4 separate regions of the Mus musculus genome follow, and regions 2, 3 and 4 are each reported to be linked to region 1. Evidence: microRNA targets listed by miRTarBase, many of them from high-throughput screens and not tested one by one. Region 1 holds a microRNA gene; each other region holds the end of a gene's coding sequence.

Evidence for each region. The annotated mature microRNA mmu-miR-3097-5p reads CACAGGUGGGAAGUGUGUGUCCA and lies in region 1 at 2,774-2,796, opposite strand. An mRNA with a match to its seed (bases 2 to 7 or 8) in the 3' UTR can be bound and repressed. Matches are read on the target gene's strand: a 7mer-m8 pairs with bases 2 to 8, a 7mer-A1 pairs with bases 2 to 7 and ends in A, and an 8mer does both.
Region 2: the mRNA of Car5b is a reported target of mmu-miR-3097-5p. Seed matches in the 3' UTR shown: 7mer-A1 at 2,430-2,436 and 7mer-m8 at 2,642-2,648.
Region 3: miRTarBase lists Slc8a3 as a target of mmu-miR-3097-5p. Seed matches in the 3' UTR shown: 7mer-m8 at 4,015-4,021 and 7mer-m8 at 3,302-3,308.
Region 4: miRTarBase lists 1810030O07Rik as a target of mmu-miR-3097-5p. Seed matches in the 3' UTR shown: 7mer-m8 at 3,968-3,974 and 7mer-A1 at 3,515-3,521.

What each region holds. Positions count from the first base shown.
Region 1 is chr5:35,015,715-35,023,845 of GRCm38, reverse strand. It overlaps Mir3097 (microRNA 3097), which reads right to left and starts at 2,797; the gene lies at 2,731-2,797. It overlaps Rgs12 (regulator of G-protein signaling 12), which reads right to left. Exons shown (of 17, transcript NM_173402.2): 5 at 4,334-4,503; 6 at 3,440-3,532; 7 at 2,587-2,730; 8 at 1,075-1,254; 9 at 664-817.
Region 2 is chrX:163,973,298-163,981,428 of GRCm38, reverse strand. Car5b (carbonic anhydrase 5b, mitochondrial) reads left to right here. Exons shown (of 8, transcript NM_181315.4): 8 at 2,059-4,607. The coding sequence ends at 2,238. Gm38561 (a long non-coding RNA gene) reads right to left here. Exons shown (of 4, transcript XR_878297.3): 2 at 4,630-8,131. Among named protein-coding and RNA genes, the nearest start is that of Gm38561, 19 kb to the right of the region's middle.
Region 3 is chr12:81,194,765-81,202,895 of GRCm38, forward strand. It overlaps Slc8a3 (solute carrier family 8 (sodium/calcium exchanger), member 3), which reads right to left. Exons shown (of 7, transcript NM_001167920.1): 6 at 7,479-7,754; 7 at 3,151-5,103. The coding sequence ends at 4,727. Among named protein-coding and RNA genes, the nearest start is that of Gm3693, 29 kb to the right of the region's middle.
Region 4 is chrX:12,651,703-12,659,833 of GRCm38, forward strand. 1810030O07Rik (RIKEN cDNA 1810030O07 gene) reads right to left here. Exons shown (of 7, transcript NM_175141.6): 6 at 6,160-6,322; 7 at 3,177-4,784. The coding sequence ends at 6,161. It overlaps Gm4984 (predicted pseudogene 4984), which reads left to right and starts at 551. Exons shown (of 1, transcript NM_001101484.2): 1 at 551-1,123. The coding sequence starts at 601. The coding sequence ends at 960.

The DNA.
Region 1 (8,131 bases):
AATCCCATTCATAGCCAATAGTCCAAGTCATTAATTGTTCTAACCATGATCTAGGCCAGCCTACATACGATGTAAGGGCCTAAACACTGTTTTACCCCAAGTCTGACACTCAGGCTCCTGGATCCAGTGACCTACTCTGAACAAGTACCTTCTCGGGCATCTGTAGACCCTGTACCAGGCAGACAGAGTATCTGAGCTCTGCTGCAGCCCTCTCCAGATGACTGCAAGTCTGCCAGGTATGGGAGGCCTCCATGGGACGCACACCCCATCTCCAAGTCCCCATCCACCAACACAATGGCTGACGCACATGCATTGGCACAGGCAAGAAGCTGTGCCTGGCTACGGGGACAGCACATTTGTGTTTGTTTCTCTTTGCTTGATTCTGTTTTCCAAGTTTCCTACTGAAGCACCTGCAACTTTCATAGCAAGAAGAAAAGGAGCCCAGTCAGCCAGACACGCTGCATCAAGGAGTTTCCAGAAGGTTCTGGAGCAGGCCTGCTTCCTAGGCTGGCTCATCCCCAACTCTGCTGGATTCCCAGGATCTGTGACATTTCTTCATCCCTCCAGATAACTCCGCTGTATCTCTGCCTGCCCACCATGGCCTCTCACGTTACCACAGCAGTCCAGCTCCCGCCCACAACAGCATGGTCTGCATTCACATACCATGGGCATGGTCACCATGGTCCTTCTTCTTCTGGGACCGCCCCGTGCTCCTGCTCCTTGACCAAGAGAAAAAGGCCCCTCTGCGTTTTTTCTCACTATCCTCCTCCCCAACATCTTCATTCAGGGATCGTCCTGATTTTGATTTTCCACTTAACTGTCACCAAATAGAAACATCAGTTAAGACACTAAAGGGGCTCAACACAGAGCTCTATGAGTAAGGATTCTGAGGAATCAGGTAGAATCTTCAGTGGGTCAAGGGCACAGTCCTCTCTTTCACCACCGAGGTAGCCAGGGGTTAGGGGATCAGGAAAGGGTTCAGGAGTATCTGTGTCCTACAGGCCCCACCTTCTGCTGGTGACAGGATGTGTGGTTACAGCCTTACTCTCACCCCCACAAGGGCTAGCCCAGCACCTTTTTTGGTGTGGACACATTGGAGTGGTCAGAGCTGATGCTGTGCTTGGAAGCTGGGCTGCTGGGGACCTGCTGAGAGTCCGGGAGGGTACGTCCCTCCACCTCTGCCAGGACGCATTCTTGGTACAGCTGGGATTTCAGAAAGCGAGTGTAGCTATCAAACTTCATCAGGTTGAAAATCTGTGGAGCAGATGCCATGCAGTATAGTCACAGAAAGAACGGTAACTCCTTAGGTCCTAGGCGGTATAGGAGGTCTGTACCCATGAATGAGTGACATTTTGGAAGGGTGTCATTCCTGCCAACCCTCCCTTGGGCCCCAGGGCACTCAGATGTTAATTAACTCTCCAGGGACCCTTCTGATCCCTGTCAACAGCCTCTCCTTTGTCACTCTTAGTAAGAGCAGAGTCATAGGCATAGGCACAGCCAGAAGGGCAGGCAGACTCAAGACTGTGGCTGCACCCTTAGCAGGCCTTCACTTCCTAGGAACTTGGAAGGCAGTTGTCTCAAGGGTAAGTGAGGCCTGGGGAAGCTCTGCTCTGTTTTAAGCTAATTCCTGCAACCTAGCGGCACAGCAGCTGGCAGGGCTGGGAAGTGTGTTCTGGACGGGTCAGATCACATGCTCTTCCAGAATTAAGACACAAACATGTAAACAGGGTTCCATGTGCATCCTGTGATCCGGCAGAGGCTGAGGCACGAGTATGTGAGCTTCATGTCAATGGTGGTGAAATTACACAGTGAGATCCTGTCTCAAATGACAATTGCTGCTACTGCTACTAAGCACGTAAACATGTAAGTATACAGACAGGTCCACAGCATTCTGGATGTACACTAGTGTGGCAGCGACGTGTGCTCATAGAAAGCTTTCTCTGGGCTGGGATAATGCAGTTATCATCCGCTCTCAAATGCTGGAAGTGACACCGAACTTGCTCAGAGTCAGCCCTGCAATCATCAAAGACCACTGACCTTCCATAATGTGCTGTTGTGGCCACGCTGTAGCTGTCATGTTCTGTAGGTCAAGTGTGTCCAATGTGCATACAATTTTTTTATACTTATTTATTCATTTACTTATTTAGTGAGAGAGAGAGAGAGAGAGAGAGAGTGTGTGTGTGTGTGTTGTACACCCACCATGGTCCGTGTCTAAAGAGTACAACTTATAGAAGTTGATTCTCTCCTTTCACTATGTGGGTCCCAATGATCAAACTCAGGTTGTCAGGTTTGGCGGCAAGAGCCTTTATCTGCTGAGCAGTCTCACCAGCCCCATAGACTTTTGAAAAGTAATATTGTCCCTTACTTCGGTTGACAGTGGGTACATGGGGCTATCTGTGGCAAAGGCTTTATTGTTCCTCAGATCTACTGAATCCTTTTGAGACTGGAGCCCAGTGGTCAGATGGGCTTGTCACCATGCCCACATGACCAGCAGCCCCCTTCCCAGAAGGGCACGTGCTACTCTGAGTGACTCTGCACCCCCAAGCCTTGGCTGGAAGCCCCATGGAAGACTGTCTGCAAAGTCACCTGGAGCTGTTGTTCCTTGAACATGTCAGGGTGGGGTGCATTGAGAATGTCATCTGCCAGCTGGGCCTGGCTGTCAATGTTGACAGGAGTGGTGGCTTTGCTGCACAGGAATTTACTGAAAATCTCCCGGGCCCTGTAAGAGAGCTGACAGGTAGAAAGGTCTGAGCAGATCTGTAGACACACCCACTGGACACACACTTCCCACCTGTGTCACTCAAACATTCCTAAGGCTGACTCTGCTTCGGGGCTGGAGAGCTGAGTCACAGGCCCTGTCTATAGTCTGGCTTATGAAAGTAAATATAAAAGAAAGAGCCAGGAGGAAACTCCTGAATCGGCTCCTCTACAAATTTCTAAATGGCTGCAAATTTCTAAATGGCTGCTTTGTAAGGGCCTCAGAGGAGGATCTGCCAGCAAAGTGTGCACGACAGGGGAGGGCAAAAGTGCACAATGCTCAGAGCACAAGACACAGGCATGAGGCCACTCTGTGAGGACAGCTGTTACTTTGGGGGAAAGGCCACAGGACATGGCCTGGGCAGTCCTGGGGCAGCTAGACAGGTGCTGTTAAGCCACAGGTAGAGGCTGCAGTTTGCCAGAGTGCTTCTCCAAGTCTCTTCAAACACTGTTCCTTCTTACCCAACCCAACGTCAAGTGCCACCACTGCCAGGCTCTGTGGCGAGGCATTTATGCAGACTATGTTTAGGCAGAATTAAATGTCACACACTTAAGTTTTTATGCTGAAGCAGAAATGTCACCGTTCTTTAAAGTCAGTAAGAAGCATCCCTCATCGACTGCTCAAGCAACCCTTGATGTAACCTCGGTCCTCACACAGCCCCTGCTCTGAAGAGCAGTTTACCTCTTTTTTGTCATGTGCAGGAACATGACTGAAGCACTCACAGGCCTGCCAGAATAAAATGTTCTCTTCACTGAATTCCTTACGTAGAAAATCCTGAGGGAACACAGGAAGGAGAGCAGTTGTCACTCCACAACCCCTCTATGAAGCTGAGCCCCATATCCCCGGCCCTCTTTGTCTACACCATGGCAGGAAAGGAGCCTCGCAGGGGCCTTGAAAGCAGGCATAGGGGCTGCGCAGCACACGTGAGTGGGCGGGCCATCTGCCTCACAGCTCTTTTCTCAAGGGCTGGTCATCTTTTTTTTTTTTTTTAAAGAAATATATTTTTAGTCTCTGGTTAGCATATAAAATATGACATCATATCACTGACACTATTATCACGTGCTGCTCGTAATCACTCTTTCACAGCTCCATCCCTACTTCTGGATCCTTAAGAGCTGTATTTGTCAGCATGCATTTCCAAGAATTTTGAAGAAGCTCCAGCTAGGATGATGTCATACAACTGTAATCCTAGTACTCAGAAGGATAAGGCAGGGGGATTATGAGTTCCAAACCAGACTGACTAACATAGTGAAATCCAGTCTCAAAACAAACAAAAAAAACAAACACACAGAGCCAAGACACTCTGATGTTCCTTGCTGCACAGACATCGAGAGAGTGAGAGGGAAGTGTGCCGGCAGGGAACTCCAGGGCAGGAGGCAGGCCAGGAAGGGAAAACAGAACTGCCAGCCCCTACAAGTGTACACGCTACCTACCCCATCCTTGAGCTTGGAGCAGGTGCTGGACGACCACACCTCTAACAAGGTGATGCCCAGGCTCTGAGGTCTGAGATGGCCCCGTGAGCTCAAGCACCCGGGCTCAAAGTGCTGCCACCCCACAGCAGTCCCCCTTACTCACAGAGAAGTAGCGAACACCAACAGGATCCTGAAGGAGACGCTCAAATGACACTGCCCAGCTTGCAACTCTCCTCTCTCGTAGGCGCCGGCAGCTCTGCACACTGGGGAGGCTGGCATTGCTGCTCAGGCTGTTGTTGCTGATGCAGTCCTTAAGGTCAGCTCCAGTCAACTCTGCAGGATCATCACAGACATACCTGCACCTCGGAGGCCACAGGTACCTATATCCAGCTCTACTTCCCACAACCCATGTTGTTCACTGAGCAACATGTACTGCACCTGAAACCTAGCCAAGGCTTTCTAGACTTCAGAAAAGAACACATCTCAACTTCCCAGGGCTGAACAAGAGAAGCTATTGCCTAAGGTGTGCATACAACACAGAGCAGAAAGAATGATGCTGAGCATACGGAAGGCGGGAAGGCATTTATAAGTGCACCACAAAGCAAAAGCCCCTGAGTGAAGTCTGAGGAGGGGCTGCAGTTGGTCCCATCACCCTCCTGGTGCTGTCTGCTGCAATTTGGATCCATGGCTCATTGCCTGTGCACTTTTCTGTGTGCAGATCACTTTTCAGTGACGATATTAAGCCACACTATCCAAACTGAGTATTTAACCATGTGTCATCTGGTAGCTCATTCACTGATGACCCGATACAGGAAAATATTACAACAAAGAAAAGGAGATGTGTCTAGGAAGACCCCATCTATCACCCTTGTCACTTGAAGCAGCCCAGGGATGAGGGGAGGGCCACAAGCCAGTGTAAGTAGAACTCTATAGCACTGTTACACATGGTGCTCTGGAGAGCGAGGCACAGGTAGCTTCAGAGACAAGGCCAGCCCAATGTGGGGTGGCACTTTGGGGCTATGCCGTCAGGGGGCTCAGGCAGCAGAGCTGATGAAGGTGATTTTCCACGTGGGATCATTAAGGAAATGCTGCTACGTCACATAGTCACAGGACTCCATCTGCTCTGAGCATTCCGGACAGGCTACTCAGGATACTCTGCCCTCTGGTCAGGTCACAGGACAGATTCCTGGGGACAAGTTAGCAGGCTCTAGTTTGAGATCAGTCACTGAAGTGCCCTTTCTAGCAAGGAGGGGAGGAGAGGAAGACAGGGGACTGGAAGCAGCACAGACACTTATACTTTCAGATCACACCCGGAATAGCATGCAGATGGCAAGTAAACCACAACATAGAGGGCCTTGCAGGAGGCCCGGCATGGAGACTACAAGTCTAGAGGAAAGTGACCCTGAGGGCTAGGAGCCAGGCCAGAGGTGTGACTATAGCCTCCTAGTACATCTCCCTCAGATCAGCCTGATTTAGTATTGGGCAGGAGTGTTCAAAGCCAGACAGTATGTAGGTGTGAAGCAGCAGGGAAAGCCATGTGCTAACACACTACAGATATTTGTGTCAGAAGAAATGATATTGTGAAATTACAACTTTGACAATTTTAATTTTTCTTTGACCCCTACCTTCACCCACACACACTGTCTATGCATCAACCACTGTTCTGAGAACCAAAAGGGGGGCTTGGGCCAGGATACATCATAGGAGCTCTGGCCTGTTCTTCTGGAACACTGTTTAGCAGAGTGGCATGGTCAGAGCACTGACATTGCTGGGAACTGAGACTGTTCAGGGTCACCAGCTCACCAGGTAACTCAGCCACCTCAAATGCATGACATGAGCCTCACACACTCTGTGGGGCTGGGATCCCACACAGCCCATCTCTGAAGCTGATCTGTGTCCAGTGACCAGAGCAGATACTGATTTCCTCAGAATACACATTTAAGTCCAAAACAGGTTGACAGGTTCCCCAAGAGCTACTACACATGTGGAGTGAGACAGTCTCATCAGAGAACTAAACAGAAAGCACAGGAAAAGGCAGGATGCTCTCTACCTAATCCCATTGTGTCACCCAAACCCCACTATATGCCATGCCCATGCCCACTGAACACCACGCAGGCAGGAAGATGTGGTGGAATAAAACCATTGGAGGAGCAGAAGGGAACGTGCAGGAGCAGATGGGGACAGATGCAGTGGAAGTGGGGACTGAGCCACATCTGACAAAAATTAGGCTGGGCTCTTGCTTTCCAGAGCCATTAAAGCTGACCTCATAGGCCCAGGGATTAAGATGTGAAATGAAATTGGAGAAAAACTGGGAGATCTGAGTGAGGAGAGGCCTGGAGGGAAGCTCGCACAACACGGAGCACAGTGGTATCTGAACCCCATGGAAAATGCCCAGGCAAAAGGCTAAGGGTGACATATGGCACACACAGACAGACTTGGTGTGGAACACTCCTCCCACATCAAGATACCGGGTAGACAGATGAGCCAGAAGAAGGCAGAAGGAAGCATGACCGGTACAAGGCTTCTAAGCACATGGGTCTGGCTTAGAACCCACGGAAGGCTCCAGACCACTCTGACTCACTTAGGTAGCTATAGTCACGGGCTCTACACAGGCTGGGTGACAGCCCAGGCAGATATGAAGACTTGTACATCAAAGAAGGTATTTAGCACTGCCAGGTGCATAGGATGTCAGAGATGGAGTGACCTATGCCACCTCAGAGGCAGAAGCAATGTTGGCACACTGCACATAGGGCACTGTGCCTCATGCAGGGTCCAGTCTACAGTCCAGGCTCCCTCTGAGCTCTGGACCAAGGGCAGAGCATACATACTACCTTTAAAAAAAAAAAACTGTATGAAGGCTAGTGGGGGCCAGGCTCTGCTATGACCCCGGATAGCACCTAGGAAGGCCAGGTGTAACTCACATTCTGCTCAGTGAAGGCTTTTGGTGACCAGGCTCCCCATGGAAAGTGAGGGTGCTGATGCTGTGGACTGCGTCTTCTGATAATGAGGTCACCCTCATCAAATGAACCACTAAGCCCAGCAGAGTGAACAGGGCAACTTTCCCCCTCCCACTTCTCCCCGTGAGCAATGAAGTCTAAAGTAAGAATTGAAGAAGGAACAGAAGTTAACTCAGGGCACGTGAAAGGCCCTGTGATAGAAGGAACACAGCACACAACTATGACTCAAATGAGCAGCAGAAACGTTGGCAGGCCACCTGGGCACCTTGACAATGTGGCCTTCAGCTTAGACAAGGGACTGGTAAGGTCCATTGTGCTCCTCCCAGTAGAGGCAGCCTGGAAGGCAGGAGGGCAGAGGAGTTAAGGCAGGACTAAGCCACCCATAGACCATGTGATGAATCTGTGCTTCTGAGTTACAAGGTGTTTGTAATTTCAGACAAGTTCAGAATGAGAAATACCCACTTCCTCTGTGGCCACTGTACCCAAGTGCTGGAGGAAAGGTGACCCAGCCCCCCATGCAGGTCTACAGACCTCTCACCCTGCAGCCTGTACCTGCCTGCCCCCTCAGCAAGATCTTTCCCACTCCCTTAAACACCTGGGTTCCTGTGCACGCACTGTAATGACAAGCTCAATGTCTAGGGGTCACTGGTCCTTAGTGCTACAGCAGGAAGTGTTGTGTTTGTAATGGAAGTGAACCTGCGCAGACTGAGTCAGTAAGCGAGAGATGACCAGAAGGCTCACAAGTCAACACTGACACTGAGTTGGAGCAAATGACTGCTCTGTTGAACTCCACTATGCCACTGAGTGTCCCACATTGTACTGTCGTCAGGATTTCTGGTTGGGGGATCTTAAGCATGGACAGTGGGGACAGAGAAAGGTGGTGTAACACCTAAGCAGGAACAGCTCAAGTGGCAATGACAACAGTGAAGAGGTGACACCACAGGAGAAGAGGGGGACCAGGGCCTATCTCCTGGCACTGGGCTAGAGACCCACTCAGGTGAGAT
Region 2 (8,131 bases), not on the chromosome of region 1:
TTGACCTCAGCAGAGGAGATGTTTATTTCAGACAGCAAAAGGCAAGCCCTTCCCCACAGGATAGAGGCCCTGTGTAGGGAACAAGTTAGCTAGGACCCTTTAGGGAGATTGGTGGTAAGCTTGGGAATGAGGAAGTTGACATGGCTTTGGGGAGGGCTATGTGTGGTCTGTAGACACTCCTTCCTGAATTCATTTGCCCAAACCAGATTATCTTGGGAGGTATACTGTCCCATCAAATAGATCTTCTCTGTGTGTGTGTCTGATAAGGGTGAGCAAGGCCATCTGGAATTTCATGGAAACTCTGTTTTATATCCAGACCCTTGGTCATTCCAGCCCCTGAAGCATAGAAAGAAGTGGGGACAGGGCCACCAATTCCGTCTTAACTGTTTTGTGCTTGAGGGCTCATTATAAGTGAGAGAGAAAGGGGTTTTGTTTTAAATCAAAGTATCTTGATTGCTCATGAATGTATATTGGCTTTGTGGGATCATCTGCTTCCAGGACTTGAGGGGTTTGTGGTCCTTAGTCAGGAGTTGAGTGATAGTTGACATAGGCTTAAACTCATTGCTGCAACAGATGAGAGAGGAATTTTAAAGCATAGAGACTGAAAATAGACCTAGACCTATCAAGATTAGGGGCCCAATAAAGGGGGTTATCCTTGGTCCCCCAAGTACCCTCCAAACCTGTCCAGCCTGATGGGTGGGATCTGCCTTGTGATTCTATTCTTTCTTTTAGCTTTCTGGCATTGTTCTTTATGACACCTGAGAAATTCATGTAGAAACAATATTCCTTCACTTACACAGCACAGATTTCTCCCTTCTTTGCCAGAATGAGATCTAATCCTCATCTACTTTGTAATACCATGGCTGCCAGGAAGTCTAACTGAGTCTGGAGTGGTTTTTTGTTTGTTTGTTTGTTTTTAAAGTTGTATTTATGTATTTTGTCTGCATGAATGTCCTGCACACCGGAATCGGGCATCTGATCCCAGGGAACTATGATTATAGGCAGTTGTGAGCTGTCATGTGGGTGCTGGGAATTGAACTCAGGACCTCTGGAAGATCATCCACTGCTTTTAGCCACTGAGTCATATCTTCAAACCCAACTCTAGAATTTTTTGATGCTGTTCCTGTACCAATGTCAGATCAGCCTTGATTTGTCGAGTGAGCGAGTTGGTTGTGTTGAACTTGTTGGAGTGCAATGGTCATTGTTCAGAGGCTCAGAGTCCCTGCCATGGTTGCTTTCAATATCATCCCTTTTGCTTTTAATAGGTGTGGGCTGGCGGTTTATTTTAAAAAGGATCAGTAGGTGGAAGGAGAGGATAATGGGGATGGGGAAGCAATAAGTAGGATCAAAATATATTACATGTAAGAAAATTTCATAATGAGACCCATTATAGTATATAATTAATATATGCTAACAAAACATTGAAAATGTTATCTGACATTTATAATCTTAATCGCTGGTCATTTTAGCACTCAGCATTATTAATTATTTGGGCAAATCTTTCTGATTTTATAATATACATAAGTTTATGACAAACTGCAATCATTTGTATGTATCATTTTTCTAGTCTTTTCTCTCCACCTACATACCTCAGAACCAAGGAGATGCTGTAACTCACCTTTGGCAAACAGCTAATTAATATGTTGGGACAAGGGCCTTTGTCCCTAATCTTCAGATTCTAAAAGCTTGGCTTTTGACCACTTCCTGCTGCTGTCACACAACCATGCCAGCAACATGGCATTTAACCCCTTATCAAGGGGTGAAGAGAGCATTCTCAGAAATAAGTTCTCTTTCTGAATCCAATTTGAGACAAAGGATTGTAGAATTATAGAAATGAAAGCAAACCAAGTGTGGTGTGGTGCATATCTATAATCCCGTTATTTAGGAAACAGAAGGGGGTGGCTCTCCAGGAGTTGGAAGCCAACCTGGTCTATATAATGAGTTCTAAGGGTTACACAGTGAGACTCATGACAAACAAACAAACAAACAAAAAAGAAAGTAATTTATCCATATACTAAAGCTTGTTTCTGATTGATATTCGTAATGTTTTGTTTCTAGCTTGAGCAGTTTCGGACCCTGCTTTTCACTTCTGAGGGAGAGAAAGAGAAAAGAATGGTGGACAACTTCCGCCCTCTTCAGCCGCTGATGAATCGCACAGTCCGCTCATCCTTCCGCCATGACTATGTGCTCAATATACAAGTGAAGCCCAAGCCAACAGCCAGCGAAGTCACCCCCTAAGACAGCATTCTTCAGCAGCATCTTGTTTTAATGACTATTAGCTTAAAATTTTAACTAGATTATTTTAAAACACAGCATTTAATAATACTTATATGTATACATTTCTATTTTTTTCTTCCTTTTTTGGGTAACATTTCAAAATTCCTACTCTTGTAAAGCAAAGACCGGGAGACAAACGAAGAAAAACAAAAACCTGTACCCAAATAACGTCAATCTGAGGTCACCCTTTCTTTCTTTCTTTCTTTCTTTCTTTCTTTCTTTCTTTCTTTCTTTCTTTCTTTCTTCTTTCTTTCTTTCTTTCTTTCTTTCTTTCTTTTTTTTTTTTGAGACAGGGTTTCTCTGTGTAGTCTTGGCTAGCCTGGAACTCACTTTGTAGACCAGGCTGGCCTCGAACTCAGAAATCCACCTGTCTCTGCCTCCCAAGTGCTGGGATTAAAGGCGTGCGCCACCACGCTCAGCAGATTTACTTATTATTATATGTAAGTATGATGTAGCTGTCTTTAGACACACCAGAAGAGGGTGTCAGGTCTCATTATGGATGGTTGTGAGCCACGGTTGCTGGGAATTGAACTCAGGACTTTCAGAAGAGCAGTCAGTGCTCTTAACTGCTGAGCCATCTCTCCAGTCCAGAGGTCACCCTTTCTTATGACAGCGTTAAGGCAGAGGAATCTGCCAGGCAGTGGTGGCGCACGGCTTTAATCCCAGCACTTGGGAGGCAGAGACAGGTGGATTTCTGAGTTCGAGGCCAGCCTGGTCTACAAAGTGAGTTCCAGGACAGCCAGGGCTACACAGAGAAACCCTATCTCGGGGAAAAAGAAAAAAAAAAGGCAGAGGAATCTTCATTAACTGTTAAATCTCTCTAATCTATTTCTCAGACAGTCAGAAAGACAATTTAGTTTCCTTTTGGTTAAATGGGGGCTTAATATGAGTGCCTGATCTTGATTTTTCTGTTTGGGTCTAATTCAGGAGCTTAGCTCACAACAAGAGGTTCTTGTGAATTTGATTTTAAAATGCCCCCCTTTTGTTCAAACTGGTGAATTGTCTCACCTTTCATTGTTGGTCAAGTTCTTAGCTACCATCATTTGGAGGTGAATGGCTCTCAAAGTTTAGGTGTAAACTTCCTGGTTTTAGAGTATTTCATGTCTTTTTTAAAAGAGAAGGTCTCATCTGTGTAGCCCTGGCTGTCCTGGAAATCACTATGTAAACCAGTCTAGACTTGAACTCACAGAAGTCTGTCTGTCTTTGCCTCCCAAGTGCTGGGAATAAAGGCTTGTGCCACCAAGGCCAGCTTTCATTATATTTGCTCTTTGACTGATAATAATATGTGTCATTGGAATATTAACAGAACATGCAAGTTGCACTTATAGCAATCTGTTAGTAATTGTGTTTTTATATCTGAAATTGTGTATGTGTGTGTGTTTTGAGACAGTGTCCCACTCTGTAGTCCAGGCTGGCCTGGAACTCATAGTTAAACTTTTGTCTCAGTCTCTCAAGTGTACAAGGCACCACACTCAACGATTATATTTGCCTTCCTTGGCTATCCTTTTTATTTGTGAAACAAGGTATCCTTTAGCTCAGGCTGTATTAGAAGGTGCTGTGTAGCAGGAGCTGCTTTGAAGCTTCAGGTCCTCCTGCTTCCACATCCCAACTGCTAGCATTGCAAGTGTGCGCCACTCCGCTCAGCTTCAGCTCTCTTCCAGTGTTCATAGCTGTGTAGAATCACAAGTAGGGATTACAGTCAAACTGTTAAAAACTACCAATGGTGGTGCTACTTACCACACAAAGCCCAGGCTTCTCAGAAAACGTCTGTGGGAGCCCAGACCAGCAAGTCCGAGCTGAATGCTGGCCATAGTTTTAGGTATATTTTGTTTCAAAACTTGGGTGTGAATTTTTGTATTCATACTTCTCAATGAGTATGTTTATACTAATCTTTAGTTGCTATTACTAGCATATGATATGTCTACTTATTATCAATTTACTGTATAGAAAATACATTTGGTAGTCATGGGCTGGCTCAGTGGGTAAAGACACTTGCCATGTGAACCTAAAGACCTGAGCTTGATCCCCAGAGCTCACATAACTAACCCCACCAAATTGCTGTCTGACCAAGCATCTTTCATCCCATACATACAACCACATACACATTATAAATGCACACAATAATAAATAAAACTTTGGGGGACGGTTCAAGACAGGGTTTCTCTGGATAGCCCTGGCTGTTCTGGAAACTCACTCTGTAGACCAGGCTGGCCTAGAACTCAGAAATCCACCTGCCTCTGCCTCCCAAGTGCTGACATTAAAGGTATGCGCCGCCACTGCCTGATCTAAATAAAACTTTAAAAGAATAAAAAAGAAGCTATATTTTGTAATCACAAGAAAAGAAGAGCTTACTGTTTCTAGAAGTTCTTTTGCATTTTTCCAAGTCAGATGCTTTACCATAGAGTTTGGGATTGTATAGGGAGTATGTCTCAGGGTTATTACTGCTGTGAGGAAGCACCATGAGCAAAGAACCTTGGGGAGAAAGAGGGTTTGTTTGGTTTACTCTTCCACACACTGCTCATCATTGAAGGATGTCAGGGCAGGAACTCAAGCAGGCTTGGATGCAGGAGCTCATGCAGAGACCATGGATGGTGCCGATTACTGCCTTGCTTGCCCTGGCTTGCTCACCCTGCTTTCTTATAGAACCCGGGACTACCAGGGGTGACATCACCCACAAGGGACTGGACTCTTCTCTATTGATCACTAATTAAGAAAAACATGCCTTACAGCTGGATCTCATGGAGGCATTTCCTCAATCAAGTTTCCCTCCTTTCAGATGACTCTAGCTTGTGTCAAATTGACATAAAAGTAGCCAGGACAAAGCATATACAGAACGTTCTAATGATTGAAGTGCTAGAGGACAGAAATATTTCACGCTGGATTTATAGAAATACATCTCAAATCATCTAGTAGTCAATTATTTTTAATATTAGTTGCATTGTTCATACACTGTTACATAGAATACAATAGCATTTCCAGCAATATTTTTCTTTTATGCATAAGGGTATTTTTCCTGCATGCCATGTATGTCTGTGCACCACATGCATGCTGGGTGCCCAAAAAGACCAGAAGACAATGTTGGATCCCCTGTAACTGGAGTTACAAATGGTTATTAGCTATCTTGTGGGTTCCTCTTTAAGAGCGTCAAGTGCTCTAAACTTAGGAACCATCTTTTCAGTACCCTTTAATATTTTATAAAATTGATTTTATGTGCTTATTAGCCAAGGTGTGTGTGTGTGTGTGTGTATGTGTGTGTGTGTGTGTGTGTGTGTGTGTGTGTGTTGGGGCTGGAAAAGCATGCTGCTGAAGTTCTATTTTTTGGCTGGAATATAAAAATTGTATCATATTTCCTGAATATATTTTCTATAGTACAAGCTATGATTACACCAGCTCTTTGGCCAACATGATAGTCACATAGACTTAGAGTAATTAGAATTGTAAAAGCCTCTGTGTTCAGCATATGCCTCCCTTGTGGTGGTATGAAGCTAAACCATGCACATTCTATACTATTACTTTTTATTACTGAAAACACACATAAGTGTATATCCAAATGCAATAGTCACAGAATTTTATCTCATTCTTTTGTTAATTGTCCAGTTCAAAAATTAAGAATGATTCTACTACTTAGTATATAACTCTCCCCCTAAGCACCATAATCACCTAAATTTATTAGATTATCATTTTGAATTGGATATTGTATTTGTTTACATTTCAAATGTTATCTCCCCTTTCTGGGTTTCCCCTCTGCAAACCCCCATCCCATCCCCCCTTACTCTGCTTCTATGAGGGTGTTCCCCCACCCACTCCTGCCGCATCACCCTAGCATTCCTCTACACTGCGCCATCAAGCCTTCACATGATCAAGGGCCTCCCCTCACATTGATGGCAGATAAGACCCCTTCAGCTCCTTCAGTCCTTCCCCTAACTCCATTTTGGTCCCTGTGCTCAGTCCGATGGTTGGCTGCTAGCATCCACATCTGTATTGCTCAAGATCTGGCAGAGCCTCTCAGGAGACAGCTGTATCAGGCTCCTGTCAGCAAGCACTTCTTGGCATCAGCAACAGTGTCCGGTTTTGGTGTCTGCATGTGGGATGGATCCCTAGGTGGGGTAATCTCTGGATGGCCTTTTCTTCAGTCTCTGTTTTGCTCTTTTTCCTATATTTCCTTTAGACAGGAGTAATTCTGGGTTAAAATTTTGGAGATGGGTAAGTGGCCCCATCCCTCAACCAGGGGGCCATGCCTAACCTCTGCATATGGTCTCTACAGGTTCTCCCTCCCCTTTGTGGGGTATTTCAGCTAATGTCATCCCCGTGGAGTCCTGGGAGGCTTTTGCTTTCCTGGCATCGGGGACTTTCTGGTGGCTACCCCCAGTTCCCCATCCCCCATTGCTACACACATCTGCTCAATTTCCTGATCCTCTGTACTTCTCCTCTATCTCCTCCCATACCTGATTCTGCCACCCTTTTTCACCCTCCCCCTCCTCTCTTCCTCCCAAGTCCCTCCCACCCTCTACTTCCCTTGATTATATTCCCTTCTAAATAGGACTGAAGCATGCACTCTTTGGTCATCCTTCCTCTTGAGTTTCATGTGGTCCATGTATTGTGGGTATTCCATGTTCTTTGCCTAATATCCACTTACCAGTAAATACATACCATGTGTGTTCTTTTGTGACTGAGTTACCTTACTCAGGATGATATTTTCTAGATTCATCCATTTGCCTGCGAATTTTGTGAAGTCATTGTTTTTAATAGCTGAGTAGTACTCCATTGTGTAAATGTACCACATTTTCTGTATCCATTCCTCTGTTGTGGGACATCTGGGTTCTTTTCCAGCTTCTGGCTATTATAAATAAGGCTGCTATGAACATAGTGGAGTATGTGTCCTTATTACATGTTGGAGCACCTTTTGGATATATGGCCAGGAGTAGTATAGCTGGGTCCTCTACTATGCCCAATTTTCTGAGAAACTGCCAGACTGGTTTCCAGATTGGTTGTAGCAGCTTGCAATTCCACCAACAATGGAGGAGTGTTCCTCTTTCTCTACATCCTTGCCAGCATCTGCTGTTGTCACCTGAGTTTTTGATCTTAGCCATTCTGACTGGTGTGAGGTGGAATCTCAGGGTTGTTTTGATTTGCATTTCCCTGATGACTAAGGATGTTAAACATTTCTTTAGGTGCTTCTCGGCTGTTTGAGTTTCCTCAGTGGAGAATCCTGTTAGCTCTGGCCCCCATTTCTTGATAGGGTTATTTGGTTCTCTGGAGTCTCCAGTCTGTTAGTCTATGCCTTTTTATTGGGGGAATTGAGTCCTTTGGTGTTAAGAGATATTAAGGAATAGTGATTGTTGCTTTCTGTTATTTTTGTTGTTAGAGGTGGAATTATGGTTGTGTGGCTATCTTCTTTTGGGTTTGAAGATTACGTTCTTGCTTGTTCTAGGGTGTAGTTTCCCTCCATGTGTTGGAGTTTTCCATCTCCTTTGTAGGGCTGGATTTGTGGAAAGATATTGTGTAAATTTGGTTGTGTCATGGAAAAAAATCTTCGTTTCTCCATCTATGGTAAATGAGAGTTTTGCTGGGTATAGTAGCCTGGGCTGGAATTTGTGTTCTCTTAGGGTCTGTATGACATCTGCCCAGGATCTTCCAGCTTTCAGAGTCTCTGGTGAGAAGTCTGGTGTAATTCTGATAGGCTTGCCTTTATATGTTACTTGACCTTTTTCCCTTACTGCTTTTAATATTCCTTCTGTGTTTTGTGCATTTGCTGTTTTGACTATTATATGACAGGAGGAATTTCTTTTCTGGTCCAATCTATTTGGAGTTCTGTAGGCTTCTTATATGTTCATGGGCATCTCTTTCTTTAGGT
Region 3 (8,131 bases), not on the chromosome of region 1:
ACATTGTGGACAGCCCGGAGAACTAACTGCTGGCTGGTTTCTCTTGTGCTCCCAATTGGTAACTGGCTGCCTCTCTGTGGGCTTCTTTCACTGGCTACATTCAGCCTCCTAAGATTCTAGTCTCTTACCATCCTTTGTTCTGGTGTTTGCTACAAGAGGTCATGATATTCTAGGACAGGCATGCTGAGCAAAATTTGGAATCAGACCTGTGTTTCTGCCTGAGCCGTACTGTCTGTGAGCTCCAGGGTAATCATATAACCACTTGTAACACCCTTGACAGAAAAGAATAGTATCTACCTCTTCTAGCTCTTATCACAAATGATGTATATTAAAGGCTCTGAAAACTGTACAGACGTAGGTCAGATTGTTCTTGGGTATTAATATTAAAATATCTCTCCTTAATCGCGAAGGCATTGTGGCAAGGCAATCATTTACAACCAAAGATCCTTTGCAGTTTAGAGAGGTTACAAGAGAGTGACTGCCCAACTAAGGACTATATGTCACAGTGTCTTTGCATTTGAAAGAGTAAAAGTGACTAGCTTTTACTAATTGGATGTGGGCAAATGTGATATGACTTAGAAGCTAAGGCAGTTAGGTGTGTGTGTGTGTGTGTGTGTGTGTGTGTGTGTGTGTGTGTGTGTATCACCTCCAATTTACTTTTTACCTGAGATGAATGGAGAAGACATGCAGAAAGTAGAAGTTATAAAATGAAAGACACCAAGTCCCTGAATCATCATGTGGAAGGAAGCCACTTGCTGACCAAGAATCCTTAGATCATTACATAAATGAGGAGTGCACTTCATGTTCTCTTAAACTATTGAAGTCTTGGGGTTGATTTATTATGGTAGCTATTATGTCCTGAAAATAAATGAGATAAAGAGATGGGGAAGGTTGTGGCTCAGTTTGTGCACTCTGGCTGGCAATGTCACCTTCATACCGATTCATTGTTGGTTATGGCTGTCAGGTGGTTTGCATATATCACCCTGTGCATCCCACCCCCTTGTGCACATGCTCTGGAATCTCAACATTAATGCTGGAAGTAATTGGCTTTAGAAGTTTTCAGAGGCTGTGAGCCTAGAGGTGTGTCACTCAATCCAGGGACCTAGTTGTTGGTGTCGAGACTCAGACTAAGGTCCTTCCTCTCTCTGGACACCATCCTCACCCCTCCTCCACATTGATTAGGGTTCATCTACTTCATTCTCAATAAAGTACCAAGCCTGGTTGATCTAGAAATGACTCAAAGCAAAGGAGAGATGTGCACAGAAGGCATTCATGTTTTAGTCTCTCCCATGGAATCAGCTTAAAAACACTTTTATCTTCATTCTTAATTAGCAATAACATGGAACAATGGAATAGATCTTTTAGCCCAGATCTTCCTCTCTCCCTCCCTCTCCCTGTCCATCTCTTTCTCCTACCTACCTACCTACCTACCTACCTACCTACCTACCTACCTACCTACCTATTGTTGCCTAGTTATCACCTCCTTGCAGGACTTGCGTTCTCAAATCTTCTTTTCTTAGCCCCAGTTTGGCCAGAAATTTAAACCTAGGCAAGGACAGAGCTCTGCAATGCAGAAAGCGAAGTGGTATTTATTTATTCATTTTTGCAGTGGTGGGACTTTCTTTCCATTCCTTTTCTTTTGCCTTCAACACAAGACCTCCCTGACCTAAACCTTTCTTAGATACACAAGCAGGCCATAGCTAGCATCCGCCTGCCTTTCCCCCTTCTTGAACTCTACTGGTGGTCCCATCTGATCCTCTGCCTTTGGGCACGCTGCTTCTTTTTGTCTGTCTTCTAGATGCTGAGTCCTCTCACCAAAATAAATTGCCATTTATTTTTGTCTCAAGGTCTCATTCTCTGTGAGGTCCTTCTCCATTCTTCTAGGCCAAGTCAGTAATTTGACGGCTGTGTTCTGTGGCCCTCTGTCCATGCCATGCTTCTGAGCACCCGTGGCCCAGGGCCGTTTTCATTTGCACCTGATCACAAGCTCTAGAAGCTTCTCGTCCTGCTCAGCTTAGGAAGGGTCACTGATCTGCAGTGTAATTTCTACATCCTTGTGTTCTCTGTCTTATGTTCTCTGTCTTGTTTGGGCCTGGAATGGATTCAGTCCATAGCTACCCAGCCACATGCGCTTCCCCCACCTCTTCACATGTGTGCCTGTGTGTACATGGACACACACACACATACAGACACACACAAGCACACACAGAGACACACAGACACACACACAGACACACACACACATGCACACACGCACACATGCATGCTTGCACACACTCACCAACACCGCCTTCTACAAAGGTCTCTGCCTTCTAGAAATACTGCTCTGGGTACTAGCAATTAATTGCATTCTCTCAGTTGCAAATTTGCTCCCAGATCTCCAACAGAAAGCTCCAGTTAGTTCTGTGGAGTGGGGTTGTGAGGCCATGAAATCATATTAGGGCTGTCAACTGAGCTGGACGATGGGATGAGCAGACCAGAGGAGGGGAAGGGCTACACACACAGAGAGGCAAGAACTGGAGAGAACACATGAATGGCAGACAGGGAAGGTAGTCTTGGTTCCTCAGGTCCCCCGATCTGAGTTCCACAAACCCCTCCCCCACCAGGCATCCCAGTGCACGCCCCTCTCTGTTTCGAGAACCATTTTCATTGGTTCCTATTTCCTAGAACCCAAAACACTGTGTTAAAAGAAATTTTACTTCATCTTCTCCACTGTGACCTTCTTATGGTCAAGGACTAAGTCTTCATTGTGTCACCAGAATGTAACTGAACACATGGGAGGTGCACACAGTAGGAGTTTTGAGTGAGTCCTGAGCAAACAGACATGACTCTGAGTCTCTGTGTAAGGAGCCCTGGCTAAGTATGTCTTTCTAGTCAGTCTTTCCCTGCCCTTCCCTTCTTGTACAAAACGTTTCCTTGCTGCTATCTACACAACCCACATGACCTACGTCCTCCTGCTTCCTGAAGTCTGGCTGTGACAGATATCATTTCCATGAACTTTTTTTGTTTAAAAAAAATACTATGTCTAGCATATTAGTCCTTGTGTGTGATAGGAGACAATACCTTCAGTTCAATTGCATCTGCCTCAGCAGATACCCAAGGTGGCCCCTGGACCACTCATTGAAGAAACACAGGGGGAAAGCAGGCTGTGTGTAGAGACATATAAGTAGACCTTTTATTTTATTTTTATTATTTTTTTTTGAACCAACCCAACATTTCCACCGGCAACTGTCAACACAGCTTAGGACACGAGCATTGTTTTATTTTTTATTTTCTTTTTAAAAAATCTGTTTAAAATTAAACAGGTGTCGTTTTAATTTTGTCTTTCTCTCTTAGAAAATGTATTTATGTCAATGCAGAAAGCCTCAAGACCCGTGGGCAGTTTTGTAGTGTGTGTGTGTGTGTGTGTGTGTGTGTGTGTGTGTGTGTGTGTGATTTAAAGCCAGGTCTTTTCAAAACACACAGGGGAAAGGTCTGGGAGGTGGGGTGTCAGCGTGTCAGTTCTTGTTTTCTAGAAGCCTGGATTCTTTGGCAATGTGGTGACTTGGATCCCTTGGGGGCAGGGCATAAGAAATGCCCCACAGTCTGGGAAGAGGGAGCTTTATGCGGTTTAAAAACAAGCAGGAACATGGGGGAAATGAAGGATTCCGGTCCCCATCCAATGAACATGCTTTCAAAAGTGGCCTGAAGGCCAGGAGAGGGGGAAGGAAGCCCCTGTTCTCTTACAAGCCTCCAAATTCATTTCAAGCCACCTCTTCAGCCCTCGGAGTATGGCACATCAGCCAGGGAGGGGTGGTGACGCTGCCATGCCCCCAATCACTGACACTTTAAGAGACCCTTAGAGACACACTCCCTTAGAGACCTCCCCAGTTGAAGACCCTCTTCTCCCCCACCTCAGACACAAACTCAGAAACATTGGAGAGGTGTTCCCCGTGTGTCCCCGGGTGCCCTTGGTCAGCCTGGAACACTCTTATCTCTGCTCTGAAGTCTCTTTGTGGGAGGGCACACACACACACAGGTGCAGCACAGAGACGTAGAATGGCTTCCACTGAGAAGAAGGTGATTCCTCTGTGGTTTGGCTTTGATGTCAATGCACGAAGAATGAAGCTCCTCCTATGCCCTGAGTTGGAGCCAAGAGATGGCAGCGGCCTGATGAGAGTGGGAGGGTGTCTGTCACTCAGATTTGGAATTCCTTCAGGGTCCTTTGTCACTAACTTCAGGAAGAGAAGACAAGACAATAACCTGGTAGGAGAATGAAAATGACTACAATGACGACCAGGTGAAGAGAGCATCCCAAGGCAGCCATTGTCCAGATGGCTCCTTCTCATACCCTGACAGCTGAGTGAGGGAGTCTTGATGCATCTTGCTGGAGACAGGGCAGATCCTGCCCCTTGTGGGGAACTAGAGTCAAAGGAATAGTTGGGTGGTGGGATAGAAGGGGACGCTCAGGGCTGTGAGTGGCAGGATGGGGAGAGGTGGATTTTTTGCTGTTGTTGGTTTGTTTTTAATTAAATACTTTGGACAGTGGATGCCTTCTCCAGTTTATTGGATTGGTTAAGTTTTGCCCTTTCTGTGCAGTGCCAGGGCCAAGGTCAGGTGAAGTTCCTGGGGCTCGGGTCCCGATGTGTCTGCTCCAGGGATGAGTAACCTGGGAAGGTTGGTGAGGATGCGTCCTTCTCTCAGGAGAAGTCCCAGGTCTGCCCTGTGGCGGTCTTGTTCCGGCGGTTCAGAACCCCTTGATGTAGCAGTAGGCCTCCAGCGTGGCAAATAGTATGTAGAGGAGCCATAGGCTCACAAAGAGCCATGTCGTGGCAAGCTTGCAGCCACGAGGACCTCCGAGCTCCCCGCCCAGATGGGGCCGCCGACGATACAAGAGCACACTGAGGCAGACAAATGCAAAGATGGTGAAAAGAGTGACCGAGAAGGCCAGAGTGCCAGCGGACACATGGAACTCCTGTCCCTGCATGGCCCAGTAGATGGCGGCCACGGACCAGGCCAAACCAATACCCAGGAAGACATTGACGGCATTACTGCCTGTGACGTTGCCAATGGAAGCATCTGCATACACGTCCTGCAGGGCAGCGGCTTTGCTGGCAAATGTATCTGGAAAAGGACAGAGACAAATGGGAGCTGTGGGAGGATGGGCTGAGCGGGGCCTTATGAGCATCCTTTATAGGCAGCTTGGCAGCATGGGCAAAGGGACCACTTCCAGCTCTGCTACTCTTGAGCTGTGTGGCCTTGAGTGCATCCAATATGGGTCAGGGTTTCCTAGTCCTCATCTGTAGGTATCTGAAGCTTTCTACGAGCTATTCCCATCCCAATATTTACCTATCAGGCATATCGTTCCCCACTGACTCTGTTTTTAGCAAAGAAATAATTCATAACATCTACCCAAGGAACTTTCACATCCCTGGAAGCAGGTTGCCACTGTCATGTGGGTCATGCACTCACGTAACCTCGACGGCGACTGAACGATGCCCATGTGCTCAGGAAAATAAGGGCTAAGGCATCTACAGAAGGTCCTTAAGTTAGCTAAAGACTTGACTCTAGAATTCCTGTGGAAGAATCCTTTTCATAGTATCCTCCCACAGCCAAAGAGTTTCATCAAGAGCCATGCAATCAGAGATATGAACCATAGCATATTCTTCTGAAAGCCCCGGTGTCGTCATGTGCTTTCTGGACCAATTTTTGGGTCTTGGAAATACCTTAAACTATGCCCCTATGCAGTATATCCTGATATCTCACTGTTGCCAAGTTTCCTGGATCTCCCAGGGAAAGTGTCTTGGTCTATCTTAACTATAATTTTTCAGGTTGGCTCTTATCTATCCCTGGTTATTTTCCCCATATGTCTTTCCCCCTCACATCTGCCCCTTTCCCTCTGATGGCTGAGGCATGTCAAGGCCTGGGGAGCAGTGAGCACAGGGCATCTCACCTGCAAGGCTCCTGGCACCATTTGATTTCTTAACAGCAGACTCACTTCTATAATAGCCAGATTTCTGACATCACTAATTCATAAAGCAGTTCTCTCAGCCCCCCAGTCTGAGCTGGGATTTTAGAAGAAAGATTTCCTGAAATGTGCTGTGGGTATAGTGTGATGATTCATTTAGAGTATTAACTTGGTTAGATGGGGATTGGTCGAATGGTATCTGTGGGTGTGTCTGTGATGAAGTTTCCAGAGATTATTAGATCCTAAGGGCTATGAGTCAAGGAATGGACACATTCACTAATGAAGTCATAATTCAGTGACATTATTAGGAGGCACTGAAAGGCAAGAGGGACCTAGTTGGGGCAGGTATCTCACTGGGGAACATTTCTTGGGGGATAATAGCTTGCCTTGGGCCTTTTACCACATTCTTTGTTTCTTGTCAAGCAAGATATGAATTGCTTTTCTCCATCGTATCCTTCCATGACATGTTGTGCTGACACCCCAAAACTGTGAATAAAATGGATTCTTCCGTCTTTAAGTTTTTCTCTTGGGATTTCTGTCATAGCCACACTGAAGAACTTAATACTTAGAATTGACCTCTGGAAGGGTATCCTTCTTTGTTACGGTGACGGATGCCCCAGATTCACCCTGGAGACCTTTGCCTGGTGAGATTTAGTACAAATACTTGAAGCTAGCAAAAGGTCAGAGTTCAAATGCCGTAGAAACCCAGATTGAGTTAAGTAGGGAGCCTGGCCTAATACCTGCTACTTAGTATTTGTCATTCAGGCATGGTTTCCATAGGACCTGCCCTGACTCAGCTTAACTCAAGGTTTCCTGTTTGACACCTTTACTTCATAGGAATTATTAAGATGGATTTTAATTAGTTGGGTCTAGTCTCCTTTGCTAGATTTTTTTTTTTAGCTAAGGGCTGAGGAGGAAACATGTCTGCCTTGACTCACATAATAGATCTGCAACCAGCACAACACCGTACCAGGCATCTTGAGAGCTCAGTCAACATTAGTCTACTAAACGAATTAATGAATAGTTACTGCGGTTTGCCTTTGGATGCTTAGAAGAAGATAAACAGCATGGAATTCCTCACACTAAAGGACAAATCCCACTAAGGTTCTCATGCCAGTTCTGATAGGAGACGCTTTGACTTCAAAGGTGACCACAGGAGCAAGGGAGGCCAACAAGGATTGTAGGTATCTTTATGGGGACATCTGTGAGCAGGCTAATCTTTAAACTCTCATAGGCTGCCGAAGGCAAATGGAAGGGCGTTATTCTATTTATTTAATTACATTGCGTGTATCTTATTAATATAACATGAAGGCTAAGAAATCGGGCCACTCACTTGGTTAGGTACCATATACTTGGTAGGCCTCAGTTTCCCCTGTCTAGTAAGGCTTGGATGAGCAGGGCAGGGATTGGCCATGTGAATTGTTTGTGACCCACAGGGCCTGCTGTTTCTGATCTGAGATTAGGCAGAGTGTAGGGGTCATTTAAATGAGGGGACATCCTCCCTGCAAACTTAAGCACTCCTCACTCTCACCTGGCACAGAGGTGCCGAATGCCACAAAAACAACAGCTGTGACCGAATCCTTGAGCCCGATGGTGCAGCCGAAGTGAGAGGCCAGGTCCCCGATGATGGCGGTGAGCATGCCAATAATGAGGATGGAGACCACGAAGCAGGCCCAGCCGTGGCAGTACTCTGTGGGGGGCACACAGGCAAAGAGCACCTTCCAGAAGACCGTCAGGAAGTGCATGACGTAGTCAAAGCAGGATGGCAGCCTCTCCTCTCCAGATTCGTCTTCATCCTCATCCCCTCCTGGAGATAAGATAAACAGGCCTGAGAAAGGGAAGGGAGGTCAGAGCTCCACCCATGAAAATGTCAAGTCCAACCCACATCCCAGGCATCCCAGGCCAGAATGGGGATCCAGCTCTCTCTGGACAGCAGGTGGGAAACAGGGTGGGCACCACACAAACAGTTGGGAAATGGGAAACAAACTGGTCATGCAGCCACTGATCAGCTTAAATGCAGGGTGCTGAGTGAGCACGGAAGAAGGCAAACAAGCCATGGGATAAAGAAAAGGAATAGAGAATGGGATTAAGAGGCAGGGTGGGAAAACAGGACAGGAGATACAGAGGAGGGACAAAGAAGGCCGGGACTGGATGCATTTGATCTAGGCAAAGAAAACAAAATTG
Region 4 (8,131 bases), not on the chromosome of region 1:
CCAGAGTTCAAATCCCAGCAACCACATGGTGGCTCACAACCATCCGTAACGAGATCTGACTCCCTCTTCTGGTGTGTCTGAAGACAGCTACAATGTACTTACATATAATAAATAAATAAATCTTTAAAAAAAAATAAAAAATAAAAAAAAAAATAAAGACTAAATTTCTGCATGTTTGAGAAATTGTATTGCCATGGAGTTACAGGCTGGATGAAAGAAGTAACTGAAGAGATGTCGGCTGGGTCACACTGCCCTGCGCTGCTTGTAGAGCCCTCAGTTCCTTGCCTTTGCATGGGTCTGGGTGTAGGAAGAGCTACAAGCTACATAAAGCCCCTCCTCCCACAGCAATCATACGGAAGGGCGCATGTGCGCAGGCCCCATGGGCTACAGCCATAAGCCGCCACTTTCCTTGCCAAAAGCCTCAAGTCAGCTGAGGACGTCAACTGAGCACGTCAGCAGCGCGTGAACTGGTGTCCTTTATGGCAGAGGCGCAAAAGCACAAAGCGGCTGCTGCGTCAGGGTCTTCTGTGAGGTCCGCATTTCTGTGCTCATTTGGTGGCTGGCAGCTTGGCTGTAGGCACTTCTCCGACTGAGGCGACCATGGCAGCAGTAGCAGCGCTAATGCGGAAAACGCTAGATTATCTTAAGACCAAGGAGTTTCGGGATTATATAACCAGCACCCACTTCTGGGGTCCTGTGGCCAACTGGGGCCTTCCGCTGGCCGCCTTTAAGGATATGAAGGCGCCTCCCGACATCATCAGCGGCCGCATGACGACCGCCCTCATCTTCTACTCCATGGCTTTCATGCGCTTTGCCTACCGTGTCCAGCCTCGAAACTACCTGCTGCTGGCGTGCCATTTCTCCAACGTGTTGGCGCAGAGCATCCAGGCGGGCCGTTTCCTGAAGCACCAATATGGTGGTGGAGCCAAGGCCAAAGCCACCAACCCTCCGGCCAAATAGGCCTCATGACTGGGGGAAGGGATGAGAGGGGTAGCCTGAACCAGATTTTGCAGCTTGCAAGCACTGGACTCTATTCCTCCTAAAGAAAAGCCAAGGAAAACTTTGGTTTTCAAACCTGATTTAAACCAGATTGGTTAATTAAAAAAAAAAGCCATCAAATTGATATTGAGTGTTGCCTGTTTTGTGAACTGGGAGGGGAACGGTTTCCTAGGTAAGAGGGAGGGCAGATTGGTGGGTTGGTCTCCCTCTTCAAAAGACTTCAGGGAGGAAGACAAGAGGAGAACCAAACTATCTCATAGCTTTGCTTTAAAAAATAAAACAACAACAACAAACTGCACAAAACCAACCAACCAAAACCCTCTCTAGGGAACAGGCTTTTGGGTACCCAGGGTGTTTGGCGCCACGGGCTACTTAAAATTTGGTAGTGACAAATCCCTACACCAAAGGGGGTTCAGTTGGGGGCTATTTCTGTAGAGAGAAATGTTTAGAAGGGAGTTTAAATGTAGTGAAATTCCAGTTTACATCTTAAGAGTTTAGTGCTCTTGGTTACCTAGAACAATAATGGAAGTTGCCATGGAGATGGGATAAAGGACTCAGAATGGTTTCTGGGCTCAGGATGGTTGCTGTCAATTCAGCAAGTTCTAGGAAAACATGCCCAAATTATAATGCTTTCCCTTTAAAGTGGGAAACTACAGGAGTTTGTGCAGTTGCTAAGCCCTGCCCCAGGGTTAACTAGCTAGGGATGGGGTGGGGGGGTGAGGGTCACTGGTCAGCAGCTCAGAGTATCCCCTAGGAATTTTCTGGGTGCCAATGATGTATTAAACCGAAAAGCTTGTAAAGAGGGAAGACCGATGTTGTGAGGTAGGATCATTATAGCTAGGACAAGCTGTCCCCTGGGGTTTGATCCACACGGGCCTTGCCTAGGATTCTGCTGAATACAGGAAAGCCCATGTGGTTTTGGGGGGACTCAATACACATATTCACAAGTGCTGAACCTGCCTGTGGTCAAGCTTACAGATGCAAAGAGATTTAAACCCCTTCTTATAGGTTCTGAAGCCATCTGCTCTTGGCTAAGACAGGCCAACAGTGGAACTCCAGGAAAAGCTGCAGGAACCAAGCATCTAAGCATCCACGCATCTGCAGCATCCTAGCAAAAGTCATTCGTGGGAAGTCCCTTTCATATTCTGAATATGAGGGTGGAGGGTAGGGCACAAATTATAGGACAGGATATTAATTGCCTGCCACAATATAACCAGCCACCCAATAATAGAACAACATACTCTCACAGTTTTGTGGTCTCTGTGGCTGGAAGCTCTATTTCCAGGTTCATGGGTGTTTGTGGGAGGCTTCAGCTCTGTGTCTTCCTGTAGCAGTCTCCAAAAGACTGCTCAAGGCACAGCATGGCTTCCCCCACCGTGGTGTTGGCAAAGGATGGAAGATTAAAGTCTTACTGTGCTGAGGCTTAGTCACGAAGTGATTTATCATCACTTTTGCTATGTTCACAAAGCAACCCTGCTGCACTGTGCAATACCAGAAAGCAAGGATCACTAGGGGTGTGGAGGCTGGCCTGCCCCACAAGGTTCTGAAATTAAAAATGCCCTGCTACTCTGACAGCCTTGCAGTTATAGAGACCACCTTGCAAAGAGCTGGTATAAAGTGCTCTGCCAAGTCCTTAAAGTTACGAAGTGAACTATATTAAGATTTTTATTAAAACATTAAAGGATTTTTTCACTCCACTGAGAATCACATGAGTTGAAATTACTATTTAGGCCTGTCTTGCAAAGTGTATTTTATAATTTGAATGTGTTTTAATACAGGCCACTGTTGAGTGAATGCTTTGCAGAGCAGGTAAATTTCTAATTAACCTAGTAAAGGGAAAGGAGGCAATCTCTGATAATTTCCTGATCTTTGCAACTATGATTTAGCCATTTTTTTTCTACAAATTCTTTCAAACTATCAAGCACCAGTGTCCCGGGGAGAGGCTGAGTGTAAAGCGTACTGGATGGAGACAAGGCACCCTACAGGCGATGAGGGCAGCCTTGGTAGAAGGCTTGTCTTTCCTGGGTTTCTTTCCCTGGTGCTAGGATTCAAAAGCACCCCTGGGGGTGGAGCTACAAAATAAGAGGCCACAGCAAACTCCATATAATCTGACTCGCATGGCTTACAATTTGGTGTGTTATTCATGCGCCTTGTTTTGAAATTAAAAACTGTAAGAATTTTTCAAAATACACAGATGCATGTTTATTATAAAAAAGAATATACAAAGCAGAAAAGCTAAATTCCTCTGACTGCTCCCACAGCCCCAATTCCTCTTAGAGACATAATATAGAAGAAAGGCTTAGAAAGCAGACCATCCCTTTCCAGAGCTCAGTTACTATAGCACACAAACAGCACTATAGCATGCTCATCATTATTCAATACTTTGTTTTTCTATTGATTTGCTTTTGGCAGTGGAACAGCCATCTAGTCAAGGTATTACACATGCTGGGTAGGCAAGCGCCCCACCACGGAGCTCCAGTCCACCCTTCAAACCGTTTCTTTCCTTTAGATGCCTTACAGGTAATTCCCATGACTGCACTTCATTATGGGGTCATTCTTTAGAATAGTTATGTGGTGGACTGGCTGGATTTGTGTGTCAGTTGACACAGCTGCAGTTATCACTGAGAAGGGAGCTTCAGTTGGGGAAATGCCTCCACGAGATCCAGCTGTAAGGCATTTTCTCAATTAGTGGTCAAGGGTGGAGGGTCCATTGTGGGTGGTGCCATCTCTGGGCTGGTAGTCTTGGGTTCTATAAGAGAGCAGGCTGAGCAAGCCAGTGGAAAGCAAGCCAGTAAGGAAGATCTCTCAATGGCCTCTGCATCAGCTCCTGCTTCCTGACCTGTGTGAGTTCAGTCCTGACTTCCTTTGGTGATGAACAGCAGTATGGAAGTGTAAGCTGAATAAACCCTTTCCTCCCCAACTTGCTTCTTGGTCACGATGTTTGTGCAGGAATAGAACCCTTACTAAGACAGGTGGCATAGTACAGATGTTCTACAACTTATTTAGTAGGTCCTCAACTTGTGAACATCCATTCGGACATACCCAGGCACAGTTCTGTGGAAGAGACGTGGGACAGGCCGCTACCTCTGTATTCAGCACATCTGTCTTCGAGCCCTTTATACAAGGGTCTTGCCTTTTCTGTTTCAATTCACTGTAATGTTACTGGTATAGTTCTCTGAACAGAACCTCTGAACTGTCCGAGTGGCAGATGAAGGTAGTAAGACTGGATTTCACCACTCGTTTCAATGTCTGGCACAGGTTTGACACTTGGTGTGTGTTGAATTGATAAGGACAAAATAACTAGACAAGAATAAAATGAAAGGTTAGGATCTCAAACTTCCTACAGTTAGAAACCAGGTCTTTGTGGGTTAGTGCATCAACATTCTATGTTTTGTACTTCAGATCTAGAAGGGAATTGATTTTTTTTCCTATGGCAAAGTGGCAAAATAAATGCAAAATCTTGCTTTGCTTGAAGTCTTCTCAAGGACTTTCACAAATGAAGGGAGAAAGAAACCATAACACTGAAAACTAAACAGCAACCTGGAAGATTAAATAAGCAAGCTGAAAGCACATTTGTATTCATTTGGGTTATAAAGTTGAAATACATGCCAAATCCAGTTTCTATTGCTACCCCCTCTCTGGAGGATCCCTGTTGGGCAGGCAGCTGGCCAGGTGAGGGAGTGACTTCATCTTTGCCGAGCCTTGGCATGGAGCGTTTCTTCTAGGTAGTTCGGGGAACATAGTAACGTCCAGAGGTGACATGAAGCAGTCTAATGGCAAAGACCCTGGGAATGAGCAGACCGAGGAAGAAATGGAAGTGAGTCTGACTCCCACAGAACACTGCACACAATAGTACAAGGCTTCCACACAGTTCAAGAAGAGCAGAGCTGGGAATGAATTTATGAGCACGGTGAAAGAGAAAGTTTTGTTTGACTACTGCTAAGAATGAAGTTTCCAAGCACTTTCCTAGCATTTCCAGAACCACACAGTCCCAGAGCCTGAGCTGCAGTACTCAGGAGATGCTGCAAGTGTGCGTGCTTTGCTCCGTCTTTGGGGACAGCGAGCTGAGAACTGACACCAGGGTCGGGCAGAGGAAGAAAATGTTGTATAACTGCCTCACATCCACCTCCTTACGATTTGTTTTCATTTTGAAATAGGGGCTCCCGAAGTTGCCCTGGCTGGCCTAGAACTTGGGATCCTCCTAGCCCAGCTTTTGGAGTAGTTGAGGTCACAGGCATAAACCTTCTTGCTTCACTTCTGTCTCTGGCTTCGAGCCCACAGTAACAGTTCCACACTCAAGAGGAAATGGTAGAAAACGACCACTTTCCTCTTTCCTTTATCATAAGTAAAAACAAAGTTAAACATTTTTATTTGGACACTTACTTCCCGCACCATTCCTGGCACATCACATAATTCCAAGTTGATGAATATGAAAAAAGTATCTCTGATGCATTATAGAAAGGCACACAACAGAAACTTGTGTGCTTTAGAAATGTTTCCTCTCTGCACAGAGAAGGAGGCCTGACCTGGAAGCCAGGCCAACTTTCACAAAACAAGCCTGGATGTTGCGAAGGACAATGTAAAATAAGACCGTATTTTCATTATTATTTGGGAGAAGAACAGTAGAGATATTTACATTAATCAGCTTTCTAATGGACACTAGCCAAGCACAATTAATGCTACAGTGAAAACTGGGTATCCCGGGCATCATCTGAAAGCAGAATGGTTTTAGACCATGTCACAAATGATATAGTGGCTCAGCTAACACCAGACCTTGCCTTCAGGGTTATGTGGCTGACCTTGCTCCAGAATGTTGAGCTTTCACAGGTCTGTGAGCCACTAATGACAGAACAGGCACTTGGCCTGCTTTTGAAAAGGTTTCTATGTTTGTTTGTTTTAAGACAGGCTCACTATGTATGTATAGTCTTGGCTAGCCTGGATCTCACTTTGTAGACCAGACTGGCCTTGAACTTACAGAGATCAACCTGTCTCTGCTCCCCATATGCTGAGATTAAAGCTATACATCACCATTCCCAACCTTCCTTTCTAATAGTAAGGGCACAGCGAAGAGCAAGTGAGACTGTTGGTTCATATGAGAAGTCAGACATCAAAGGGATAAGGCTATTGTGTCCCTCTTTAACATTCAGTACCTACACTCACCTCAAGCCTTCCTTTCAGGTGTCTGTCTACCGGCATCCTTTGAAGTTTGTTTTTGATGCTGTAGATGGAGGCTCTCTAGCTTCTGCAAGTCTTCTGTAAGGCCGTTTCTAAGATCTGTGTTGCTTCCCAGAAAACCTTTCACCACATCCAGTTGATTTGAGATCTGTAAGAGGAAAGTGTACAAAATGCTGCTTAGGATAATTACTGTAACAGAATTCAATTAAAATGGAACAGTGTAATCTCAAGATTGGTTCCCAGGGCTGCAGGAGAAGCTCGGCAGCAGGAGCACACTTGGCATGTGCAAGGTACTGCCTTCCAGCTTCACTCTTGCCCTAAACCACCTGTTCTGTTTATATGCCTACTACAAGACAGAAATGCGGACTACTGGCAAGCATCTACACAGAGGTTGAGTGGATGGCATTGTGAAGAAATACTGAACCAAGCACACACACACACACACACACACACACACACACACACACAAAAGGTACACTTAGCCAGGCATGGTTTTCACACCTCTTAAAGTCAGCAGTTTGAAAGCTGAGGGAGGAAAAATGAACACAAGTTGCAGGCCTATACCAAAAAATAAGTAAGACAAAATAAAAAAGCACCTGCCACGCAAACCAAACATGATCACAGAAACATCAGCCACATAAAGGATGTCTATATAAGTATTACTGATGGAAGATAAATCTATAAAACAGTACACATGCCAAAATTCCATGTCAACAGAGTATAAGGTTAAAAAAACCTTAAATCTCACCCTAGTTATTCCATTTCCTCCTTTACATGTAACCATAGCAAAGGATCCAATTTCTTCTAAAAACATGTCATGTGTTTGTGTGTACACATTTTTGAAATCACAGACTATGTGTACACAAGTATTCTGTTATCTCCCCACCACTCTTTAGCCCTCTTGTCCCCTTACTCCTCCCTAAGTGTCTCTTCCCGAGATTCAGAACTTCTGACTTTATTTATCCCATAGGACCCATTTAGTTGAATCAGGGCCATCTGTATGATCACCCAGTTGGGGCTATTCACAGCCACTTACTGAGATCACCAAGGGCTCCAGTAACTACAGGCACTTGCTCTCTCTGAATCTACTAGTAGCGAAGAGGTCAAGACCTCTTATACATATATGCAAAATACAGGGTGTCTCTGTGTAGCCTTGACTGTCCTGGAACTCACTCAGGCTGGCCTCGAACCCAGAGATCTGCCTGCCTCTGCCTCCTGAATGCTGGGATTAAAAGGCGTGCACCACCATCATCCAGTTTTAATAATTAAAAAAAAAAGGTCGGGCTCCCGTTACTTACCTCCTGTCTCAAGCCTCGTTATTTTATTGGATTATTTTACATGTATGAGTGCTTTGTCTGTCTGTCTGTGTATGATGCCTGCAGAGACCTGAAGAGTACATCAGATCCCTCTGAAACTAAAGTTACAGATGGCCATGAGTCACCATGTGGGTGCTGGGAACCAAACCTGGGTCCTCTGCAAGAGCAGCCAGTATTCTCAGCCATAGTTCCATATTTCCTAAGCCTGATTTTTAATGGCTGAATAATATTCCAATTGTGGAAATTTCACTTTCAATACATTCTGAACCTTTTGTTGAAACAAGTAACCATGTGGAATTTACCCTCACACATATGTGGCTCACATAAATGACATTTCTGTTTATAGAAATAGTAGGCAGCTTTAACTCTGATTGAGTGGAGTCTGTCTTAATTTTAGTAGTTAGCTAGAAATGCTATGTATAGAGGTTATACTGATTTAAATCTCCCAGCAACATACTCCTCAACATTTTAGCCATCTCAAGAGTGGTAGTGTCTGCACTGGTCTTATCCCAGAACACATTCACTGGCCCCTAGTCTTACAAAAATGCCAGACACGGGCTGGTGAGATGACTCAGTGGTTAAGAGGACTGACTACTCTTCCGAAGGTCCTGAGTTCAAATCCCAGCAAGCACATGGTGGCT